Saccharomyces cerevisiae S288C: one gene and its partner. Changing the gene in region 1 together with any one later gene gives a genetic interaction. Each region holds a gene or a part of one and is shown on either strand. Other genes may lie near its edges.

Evidence for each region. Genes that interact genetically often act in the same process or in processes that back each other up.
Region 2: mutations in RRD2 (region 1) and CCS1 impair growth when combined (synthetic growth defect), as found in Saccharomyces cerevisiae (2 studies listed by BioGRID, with this or other methods).

The regions. Positions count from the first base shown.
Region 1 is NC_001148.4:263,503-268,916, reverse strand, and holds RRD2 (peptidylprolyl isomerase RRD2), read right to left. Parts: upstream 3,890-5,414; coding exon 2,813-3,889; downstream 1-2,812. Other genes in the region: YPL150W (non-specific serine/threonine protein kinase), read right to left, coding at 1-729; mRNA splicing protein PRP46, read left to right, coding at 1,382-2,737; YPL152W-A (uncharacterized protein), read right to left, coding at 4,217-4,315; serine/threonine/tyrosine protein kinase RAD53, read left to right, coding at 4,725-5,414. UniProt on the Saccharomyces cerevisiae protein: PPIases accelerate the folding of proteins. It catalyzes the cis-trans isomerization of proline imidic peptide bonds in oligopeptides.
Region 2 is NC_001145.3:346,936-352,075, forward strand, and holds CCS1 (copper chaperone CCS1), read right to left. Parts: upstream 1,326-5,140; coding exon 576-1,325; downstream 1-575. Other genes in the region: chromatin-binding transcription coactivator SUB1, read right to left, coding at 1,709-2,587; YET2 (Yet2p), read left to right, coding at 3,446-3,928; D-arabinose 1-dehydrogenase (NAD(P)(+)) ARA2, read right to left, coding at 4,031-5,038. UniProt on the Saccharomyces cerevisiae protein: Copper chaperone for apo superoxide dismutase 1 (SOD1). Binds copper ions and delivers them specifically to apo-SOD1.

The sequences.
Region 1 (5,414 bases):
TTTCCATTTCGTTTTAGCCTCATCGTCATCATCAAATGGCAAATATCCCGTAATTAATGTGTATAGTATCACTCCCAATGACCATATATCAATCTTGAATCCATCATAAGTCCTTCTTTCTATCAATTCAGGTGCCATATAAACTGTGGTACCGCAAACCGTTTCTAATGTCGTCTTTGTCATACATTCTCTCGTAAAACCAAAATCCGTCAATTTTGCATTTCCATTTTTGTCTAATAAAATATTCTCTAACTTCAAATCTCTATGAACACAATGCATTGAGTGTGCATAGTAAACAGCACCTGAAATTTGTGCAAACAACTCTCCGCATTCCAATAACGATATTCTACGCAGAGAAAGTAAGTGGTCATATAATTCCTTCCCTGGGCAATATTCTAATGCCATCCACACTTTTGATTCTGTCACTATCACTTCATAAAGCTTTGTAATATAAGGAAAATCGAACTGTCTATGGTAAAATACCTCTCTAACGATATTGGGATCATTCTTATCACTCGTCTTTAGGCAGACTTTACGATGTGTTGGTCTATGGAGCGCTAAATATACTTTTCCAAAACTTCCTTCACCTATTTGTTTTAAAATCTTGTAGTTTCCCACTTCTGTCAACTCATCAGAAGTAAATTGGCTGTATAGTCGATTGTACGATGATCCTATAATGCTTTTTATATTGTTTTGTTCCAATTTCGAGGATCCAACAGGATTAACCATGGTGAGCAGTATATTCACCTATATGTGGGTCTTTTATTGTCTCTTGGCAACGGATAAGGAGAACTTGCTTCCACTACACAGTGACTAGTTATTAATGAAAAACGAAACAAAATTTATTGATACAAAAAATAGTATTCGGATAACGAAACTCTTGTTGACTTCAAAATACAGGTATTGGAATTTTCGTAATGATTCGGAATGATATGAGGGAAAAAACGTTACTTTATTTAATTCATACAAGATATTTATTGTATACCGTTATTGATAAGTGTTCTGTTGTCAAGATTGGGAGGGTCCACGCGGTCAACATTGTTAAGATAAGCCGAAAATCACCACACAAATCCACGATGACCTAAGAACATTCGTTCGCTTAAATCACCTATAGTCACAATAAAGTAGCATTCAATGTGACAAGAGGAGCTATCTACTTTCAGAGAATTACTCCTCATCTCGTATTCCTATTTCGAGTTCAACAACTCTTTTATTAAGTAAGGGTGCTCAAAATTCTTCATCATCTAATACGGAAAAGCTACAATTTTGGCAATAAAAGATTATTCAAGATGTGAAGCTAACAGTAATTATTACCCACTTCATTGCATCTTAAAACCATTTCCGAGGATGCAGACACTGTGTTACATGGAGATTAGTGAGAATGGACGGAAATGATCACAAAGTCGAAAATTTAGGAGATGTAGACAAATTTTATTCCAGAATACGCTGGAATAACCAATTTTCATATATGGCCACTCTGCCGCCCCACCTACAAAGCGAAATGGAAGGTCAGAAATCATTGCTAATGCGATATGATACTTATAGGAAGGAAAGTTCTTCTTTTAGTGGTGAAGGCAAGAAAGTTACTCTGCAGCATGTTCCTACAGATTTTTCAGAAGCATCACAAGCAGTGATTAGCAAGAAAGATCACGATACGCATGCATCTGCTTTTGTGAATAAAATTTTCCAACCAGAGGTTGCTGAAGAACTTATAGTTAATCGATACGAAAAACTTCTGTCACAAAGGCCGGAATGGCATGCACCCTGGAAACTTTCACGCGTTATCAATGGCCATCTTGGATGGGTACGATGCGTTGCAATCGATCCTGTTGACAACGAATGGTTCATCACCGGAAGTAATGATACGACAATGAAAGTTTGGGATCTTGCAACAGGAAAATTAAAAACTACCTTAGCAGGGCATGTAATGACAGTGAGAGACGTTGCTGTGTCAGATCGACATCCTTATTTATTTTCTGTTAGTGAAGATAAGACGGTCAAATGCTGGGACCTAGAGAAAAACCAAATTATTAGAGATTACTATGGACATTTATCGGGGGTTCGTACGGTGAGCATACATCCAACGCTGGATCTCATAGCTACCGCAGGCCGAGATAGCGTTATCAAACTCTGGGATATGAGAACCAGAATACCTGTTATTACACTAGTTGGGCATAAGGGTCCAATCAATCAAGTACAGTGTACTCCAGTAGACCCTCAAGTGGTGAGTTCATCGACTGATGCTACGGTAAGGTTATGGGATGTAGTTGCTGGGAAAACAATGAAAGTTCTAACACATCATAAGAGGTCTGTGAGAGCTACAGCGTTGCATCCTAAGGAGTTTTCGGTGGCTTCTGCGTGTACTGATGACATCAGATCATGGGGATTAGCAGAGGGGTCTTTACTCACCAATTTTGAGTCTGAAAAGACAGGCATAATCAATACTTTAAGCATTAATCAAGATGATGTATTATTCGCTGGCGGTGACAATGGTGTGCTTTCCTTTTATGATTATAAGTCTGGTCACAAATACCAATCGTTGGCCACGAGAGAAATGGTAGGCTCTCTGGAAGGTGAACGGAGTGTTCTTTGTAGCACTTTCGATAAAACAGGTTTAAGATTAATCACTGGAGAAGCAGACAAAAGCATAAAGATTTGGAAACAGGATGAGACGGCTACAAAAGAGTCAGAACCGGGGCTAGCGTGGAACCCCAACTTAAGCGCCAAAAGATTTTAGTGGGAGTAGATGGAAAAAGTACGTACCCTGTATACGTGTATATACAATGAGATAGCATCTATAAATGGACTTTTCCTAATCAAAAGGTATTGGTTTATGATGTTTTTTATTCATCTCAGTAGCCGCAATAGCGCTCGGTAACTTTATACCACAGCAGTCTCCCCAAGTAGTATGAACATGTCCTTCAAAATTGCACTCATCATCCTTATCAGTCCCATCATGTATGTGGCCTCTTGGTGGAGATACACCATCCGGACAAGGCAAAAACTCGCTAAAGTAAAAATGTTGCATGATGGGCAATTTACTAAGGACTTCGGCTTTATACATTTTTATCATCCCTTCAGCAACTTTTGACCAAGTCTTTACACCGCTGATGTCATCTAGCATAGGAGAATGCCATCTCAAGGAGGCGGATGACTTGACCTTATTAATAAAAGCGATACAACCAAAATATAAGTACCGATGAGCGAACATTTCTACGAGCTCATTATTGTGAATTGATATCGGCTTTAAGTGCTTGTGGGTGGTTAATTGGAAGGCACCAAATAGAAATGGAAGGAAATGATAATCATCTAATCCCCAAACACCATGAGAGCCCGCAGGCTCAAGCCAATATTTAGTTTCTAGTATCCTCATTATTTTAAGGTATTCTATAAAAACTTTCAGCACGAGGTTAGTTGAATCGTTTGAAAGATTGAATATTCCATAACTATAGAGTCCATAAAGTAAACACATGAAATTTAATTCATGACCTGAACCATAATCAATTCTTCTTTTATTTCCCCATGATTCATCTAGATAAATCGATAATTGTTCCAACTGCTCATCTGTGAGAGAGGGAAATTCGGAACGTAAGATCTTCCTGGAATTCCGTGAAACTTCGTCATAAAAGTCCCTAAACTCAACCTTACCAAATCTCGAGCTATCTGCATCCTTTATTACTGGGTGCTTCTGAGTGATATCTTTTATTTGCGAAAGCAAGTTCATCATACTGTTTATTGACTCCGATATTGGTTCTTTGTACTGGGAATTCTCATGTCCTTTGACAGATTCAGCCAAATCTATAATAAATTTAGTGAAATGAGCTCTTGTTGGGGATTCTTCCCATAGTTTCATATCGTCTGGAGTCAATAGTCTCTTTTCTGGCAACATCTTTTTCTAAATATTTATATTGTTCTTTACGGATTGTTGTTTATGGACTGTTCTTTCTGCACAGGCGACTAACATAAAGTACCTCTCTCTTGTCATTGATATCCCTTTTGTTCTATCACATCCGTTAGGATTTTATTCTGTGCTTACTCACGTGAAAGAGAGGGAAGAGTGTAAAAGTTACCCGAAAATCTATTATGGCGGCTATTGTAGTACGTCCAAAACAACGTATTTCAATGTAAATTCAAAGCAAACACTGAGAAAAAACAAAAACTTACTTATTGGTTCGCTCAGCACCTACCTAAATGGTACTTTTAGAATGATACTGTATTATCTACCGTGGTATCGGCAACTATAGGACGGAGATAAAGCATGCCAAAGTAATTCTTCCTTTATTAGATGAGATTTCAGCGTGAGGTGAACCATCATTTGTTTGGTTGGTGCATTAATAGCCTGCTTCCTTTTAATTAAGCCGGAAAGTGTTTGTCACAGATGTCAATGAAACGTGCATCTATTAACATATTTATTTTCATTTCGAGGGTGAGGTGGTGTGGACGCGTTGATACGGCAACGGGAGTGACGCGTAAAATTGGCAGAAAAATCATCACCGTGGGTAGACTTGGAAATGAAAACATTTATAGAATAAAGGTACAGGTTGAGAAGATAAAGGGTACCAAAGTTACCATTTTGAAATCTCTGATCAAGAAAAGGTAAGAAAGCAGAAAAGGACGGTAGAGATTATTGGAAGACAAACTAATTTTGTATATGCATTCGATTTTCTTAAGCTTTAAAAGAGAGAATAGTGAGAAAAGATAGTGTTACACAACATCAACTAAAAATGGAAAATATTACACAACCCACACAGCAATCCACGCAGGCTACTCAAAGGTTTTTGATTGAGAAGTTTTCTCAAGAACAGATCGGCGAAAACATTGTGTGCAGGGTCATTTGTACCACGGGTCAAATTCCCATCCGAGATTTGTCAGCTGATATTTCACAAGTGCTTAAGGAAAAACGATCCATAAAGAAAGTTTGGACATTTGGTAGAAACCCAGCCTGTGACTATCATTTAGGAAACATTTCAAGACTGTCAAATAAGCATTTCCAAATACTACTAGGAGAAGACGGTAACCTTTTATTGAATGACATTTCCACTAATGGGACCTGGTTAAATGGGCAAAAAGTCGAGAAGAACAGCAATCAGTTACTGTCTCAAGGTGATGAAATAACCGTTGGTGTAGGCGTGGAATCAGATATTTTATCTCTGGTCATTTTCATAAACGACAAATTTAAGCAGTGCCTCGAGCAGAACAAAGTTGATCGCATAAGATCTAACCTGAAAAATACCTCTAAAATAGCTTCTCCTGGTCTTACATCATCTACTGCATCATCAATGGTGGCCAACAAGACTGGTATTTTTAAGGATTTTTCGATTATTGACGAAGTGGTGGGCCAGGGTGCATTTGCCACAGTAAAGAAAGCCATTGAAAGAACTACTGGGAAAACATTCGCGGTGAAGATTATAAGT
Region 2 (5,140 bases), on another chromosome or scaffold:
TTGTCTTTATTACCTGTCTCTTTCGCTGGAAACAACAAATATAAATAAGTAAGTGTCAATACTATATGTTGTCTGTAGAGGGGAAATTGTATATATTTTCGGTGTCTTGTTTTTCTTTTCCGCAGTTTGTTTTTCCCATTCTGATTTTCTGAAATTCGTAAAAAGGTGTTTTTTTCGTATAAATGGCTCTCTTTAATTTATTAGAGACAAAAAGAGCCGATATGTATGACGTAGACAGATGGTGTCAAGAACCGGCTTGGCTGCTACGGAATGCGTAGCTGAACGCCGTGGTTTCCGGAGAAAGACGAAAGATCAACTCCGGCCGTCTGGCCAGGAACGATAGGTGCTGGAGATAAGTGAGGTACGGATACCAAGAGCGAAATACCTCTTTAGGTACGTTCCGGGCCGTTGTTGCCGGCGAAACCGGAGGGACAAGGCAATATGAAGTAGGATTGGAAACCGGCTTTGGCATATTGCCACATGCGTATGTACATGTCCGGCATCACGTGGTTATGATGTAGTATACTATATTATGTTATATCTGTATTACGCTACGTTGTGCTATCTTGGATGTTCTATTTGATGTTGTTGGCCAAGGCATCTTTTCTCTCTTCCCAAACAGTCTTTCCGGTACACGCACACACTTGTTTATTATTTTCCCACACACCAGCGCTTCTCGCAATGACTCCCAGAAATGAGTAGTCCTTAACGGAGGAAGGCTCGTTTTCTGGGTGGTTCAGAGACTTGGAAATGACAAAGCTGCGGCCGATAAGTTGCCATGTTGGCAAGGGAGCGCTCAGAAAGGTCTTCCCACTGTACAAGTTCTTGCCCAAATCACTCTCGTTGAAGCATTCAATGGGTTCGTCGAACTTGTGCCAAACTTTACCAGTAGATTCCACGCCCTTGGAGACGTCGCCTTTCTCGTGAATGCTGGCGTGGTAATTTCCCGCCTCTGGGACGCCATTTACAGTGATGTCAAAAAGAGTCTTATTCTCTCCAACCTGAACGATTCTTGCTAGGCCCCTCACGGCGGTGTCCTTTTTCTGGTCTATAGTATATTTTTGAAAGGTCTCTAAGATAGCGACCGCGGAAGAATTCGGCTTCCCGGCGCCTCTTATGATGGCGTCTTTACCACAGTTTCGCAAGGTGTTGATGATGGTTGAAGGGGCTACTGAGCTTTCCACGCTCATTATTTGTTGCTCTATATCGAAATTCAATGAATTGATTCCTGGGACATTTTTTAGGCATGCCTTTATATCATTCACGCAATTTTCACAGTGCATGGGAATGGCATAAGTAGCCTCGTATGTATCGTTCGTGGTCATTTTTGTGCTGATCGAATGGGTTTCTGCCTTGCAAAGATATCTTTATTCTTTTCTTAGTCTAAATTTTTTTTTTTTGGCTTGCCTTTAATATATTATTTTTCCGAACAATGAATTTTTACCCTCTTCCATTCTCACTGTGTACTAGTTGTACGGGGAAAATGCTTAGTAAGCGCAAATTTTTTTTTGATAGTATATTATACTGAAATGTACAAGATTAACTTTTGTCTGGTTATTATAAATCACATATTTGATTATATGAATTGTTAAAATGAATTTGACAAACAGAAAAGTATATATTTTTATTTCTTTTTTTTTTTTTTTATTCTCTAATAAGCTCGTTGGATGGAAGACGTTGACATAAGCAAGCTCAACTTCCAGGACTATTATTCTTCTTCACTTATGTCGTCTTCAGCCTTGTTCATTTCAGCTTCCAAGCTTTGAGCAAATTCTTCGTCACTAGAATTTGCATCTTTTGACTCGTTTATGTTGGAGACAATATCTTCTTTTTTAGCTTGAAGTGTGGGTACAGGTTCAGGTTCAGGTTCAGCTATCTTTTCTTTTGCCTTTGCCTCTTTCTCTTGTTCTGCAACTGCTTTTGCCTTTGCCTCCTCTGCCTCTTCTTTTTCCTTTTGCTTGCGTTCCTCTTGTTGTTTCCTACCTGCCTGGCCTGGGATGATCAAAGTAGCATTGGCTTCTCTTTCAGCGTTTTGAATGTTTTCCTCGTGTGGAAGTAGAGTAGGTGGAGCAGGTTTCTTCTTCTTTGAACGTGGCTCCAAGTCATGACTCTCATTAGATGCTTTGGACTTATCTTCTCTCCTCTTCTTTGGGCTGTTCTTGTCCTTCCCGTTTTTATCCTTGTCGTTATTAGTACTGTCATTATTGTTATCATCTTCATATTCGTCGTCGGACAATAGTCTAACCATTTTGGTTTTTGGTCTCTTGGATCCTAGCCTTCTCAAGGCTTCATCAATATTCAATCTGTGCTTAAGCAATTCGTCGTATAGATCTTCTGTCAACGAAATACCTTTCTTCCCAGGTTTCATTTCGCCTGTAGATGAGTCCAGATAGTACTCACGGATATCAATTAAATTTATGTTTCTAAATTGTCTTACCGTGACCCTCTTATTTTTACCCAGATCAAAAATTGCATCTGATGCGGATAGTCCAGATGGCATACCACCATTGTTATTGTTACTGTTACTTAAGTTTCCTCCACCATTATCGCTTCTTCTTTTGTTCCTATACCTGTTGTAATATGACATAGCGCTTGTGTTTGTATATATGTCGAAAAATTGATGTGTACGGAAAGATTTAATATTAAATAGCTTTCTTAAGTGGGCAACCAAAAGTGTTTCTTTGATTGGGGACTTTTACAAAATTCACGTTTACAACCTCTTCTCTTGTCTTCCTATCGTTCCCTGGATCAAATTAAGAATTTTCATCAAGAATAGAGAGCAGAAGGCAAGCCAAGAGAGAAAAAGAAAGAGAGAAAGAAAGAAAGGAGAGGAAGAGGAGATGAAAAGAGAGGAAAACTTGAGTTTTGATAAAGAAATTTGAGGAAGGTAAAAGTAAAATTCCCATTCAAATGAATGTATTAATAAATTCTCATCATTAAAAGGAGGGAAAAATTACGTATAACGTAAAGATAAAACGTGTGTGTGTGCAGTGCTATACTCATTGTCCTTGTTAGTGATGATAATTCGTCCCAGCTGAAAAAACTCAAAATAAGTATTACCCGGATCGAGGCTGTGGCATTTAGCGCCGCTGTCTTGACCATCCACCAATGGTTGATAATAACATCGGATGATCAGCCCATTTTTGGTGTATTACTATCCCATCTCATTCTTCCAAAAAACACGTATATATCATTGACGAGATCGAGATACGTCTGCTGTGTTTAACGGCTAACTTGGTTGTGTAGGCTTGTGTCAATTAGGCAAAATGGTTTTCTTGGAAAAAAGACAAGGGAAAAAAAAGGGTTGATAGAGCAATATATGTACAGCTGGCCTTCTCTGAGAAAAGCTAGCCGCCTGGAAGTAAATAAATACGCTGAGTGTTCGTTGGAGCATGAATTATGTGAATAGAAAAATACTAAGCAAAATTTCAAAGTCGAGTTAGTGATGGGTGTTTATTTGGCAGTACTCTTTTCGTTACTGGTCATCGAAATGGCCATTCTGTTTATTTTGGTACTTCCGCTTCCACAGCGTATGAGAAGGTGGCTGTATATACGCTACAGTATCATAAGTACTAATAAGAAATTCAGAACTTATATGGTTGGAATCATGATCTTCGTTGGTCTTTTGTTCATCGATTCATGGAAAAGGTCACAGATCAGAGTGTCTACGTACCGCAACCAGAAAAATCCCTATATAATAAATAGTGTAACCCCAGTGGATGCACTGGCTTCAAGGGCATATAACCAAAGGAATGTTTACATTTCAGGCTTCATCATCTACTTTTATATATGTATACTCACCGTGATGAGTATATTGCGAAGAATAGTGGAATGGAATGACAAAATGAAGGCTGGAGATGACATTCTGAAGGAAAAGTTAAGACGAAAGCAAAAATATTTAGAGGAATTGCAGAAGAAGAAATTTTAAAAGGAAAAAACTAAAAAAGAAGAAAAGGAAAAACTTACATATGTAAATAGAACAAATGAATATAAACTAAAATTTGACAAATTTTTTTTCTTTTTGGGGTGATTATATCATTTCTGGATGAGGAATACCTGAAGACCACTCTTCATTAAAATGTTCTTTAAAAATATTCTTTTGGATATATTCTACTAGTTGTCCGTCCTTAGAAGATAATCTGTTGCCATTCGATTTCACAATTTCGTAATTATCCAGAGCAAGTTTCAATTCTTCCATGCTACTGACTCCAAGAACAACGGGTCCCTTTCCTACCCATTCCGAAATCGCGTATCTTGTGGCCAAATCGGCTAAGTCGACATTTTGTTCTTGACAGTATTTGGCAGCCTGAGATGCGCATTCTCTCAATTCATGAGAACACGGGTGAAACTGTCTTGTCTCCTGTGACCTTAGTAGCGACATGCTCAAGATTGATGCGTTGCAAACCATTTTCAGTTTAGCATTGCGTAGCAGTCTTTCTCGAAAGTTCAATAGCTTATTGTTTTGTAAGTTCAAGTTACAATAGGACAATACTGCATCCAATGACCCAATATCACTTTCCTCGGTAGAGCAGTACTCAGCAAGCCAGGTGATAAAGTCGATTGGGTAGCCTGATATGCCAAAATTTTTGATAACTCCTTTGTTCTTCAAGGTCCTCAATTCCTTTAATGCCTCTAAGATGTCTGGAAATTTGACAAACTCGACATCGTGCAAGTACACCAAATCGAGATATGTAGTGTGTAATCTTTCGCACGATCTGTGAACACTAAATCTCACGAAATCTCTAGAATAGTTAAACTCTTCCGCACCAATACGCCCAACCTTTGTGCATATAAAATAAGTGTCTCTGGGAAATTCATTCCTTAAATTGGACAGTGCCCTACCATAAAGAACCTCACTAGGGCCATAGTAGGGAGAAGTGTCAATTGCATTGATACCATGCGAAAATGCGTATTTGATTATGTCTTCCAGTGGAATGGATTCTGGCTCATCTGTATATTGCTGGTTCAGTATTGCACCTCCTAAGACTAAAGGAGAAACCGAAGCTAAGTCGAATGGATTCACTTTTTCATTAACCATCTTATAGTCTCCGTTGTTACTCTTTTATTTATGTGTACTCTTCCTTCCTGTTAACAGAGTAGATAAATATAGGCTTTAAACTTACCGTGTACTGAAACCCAG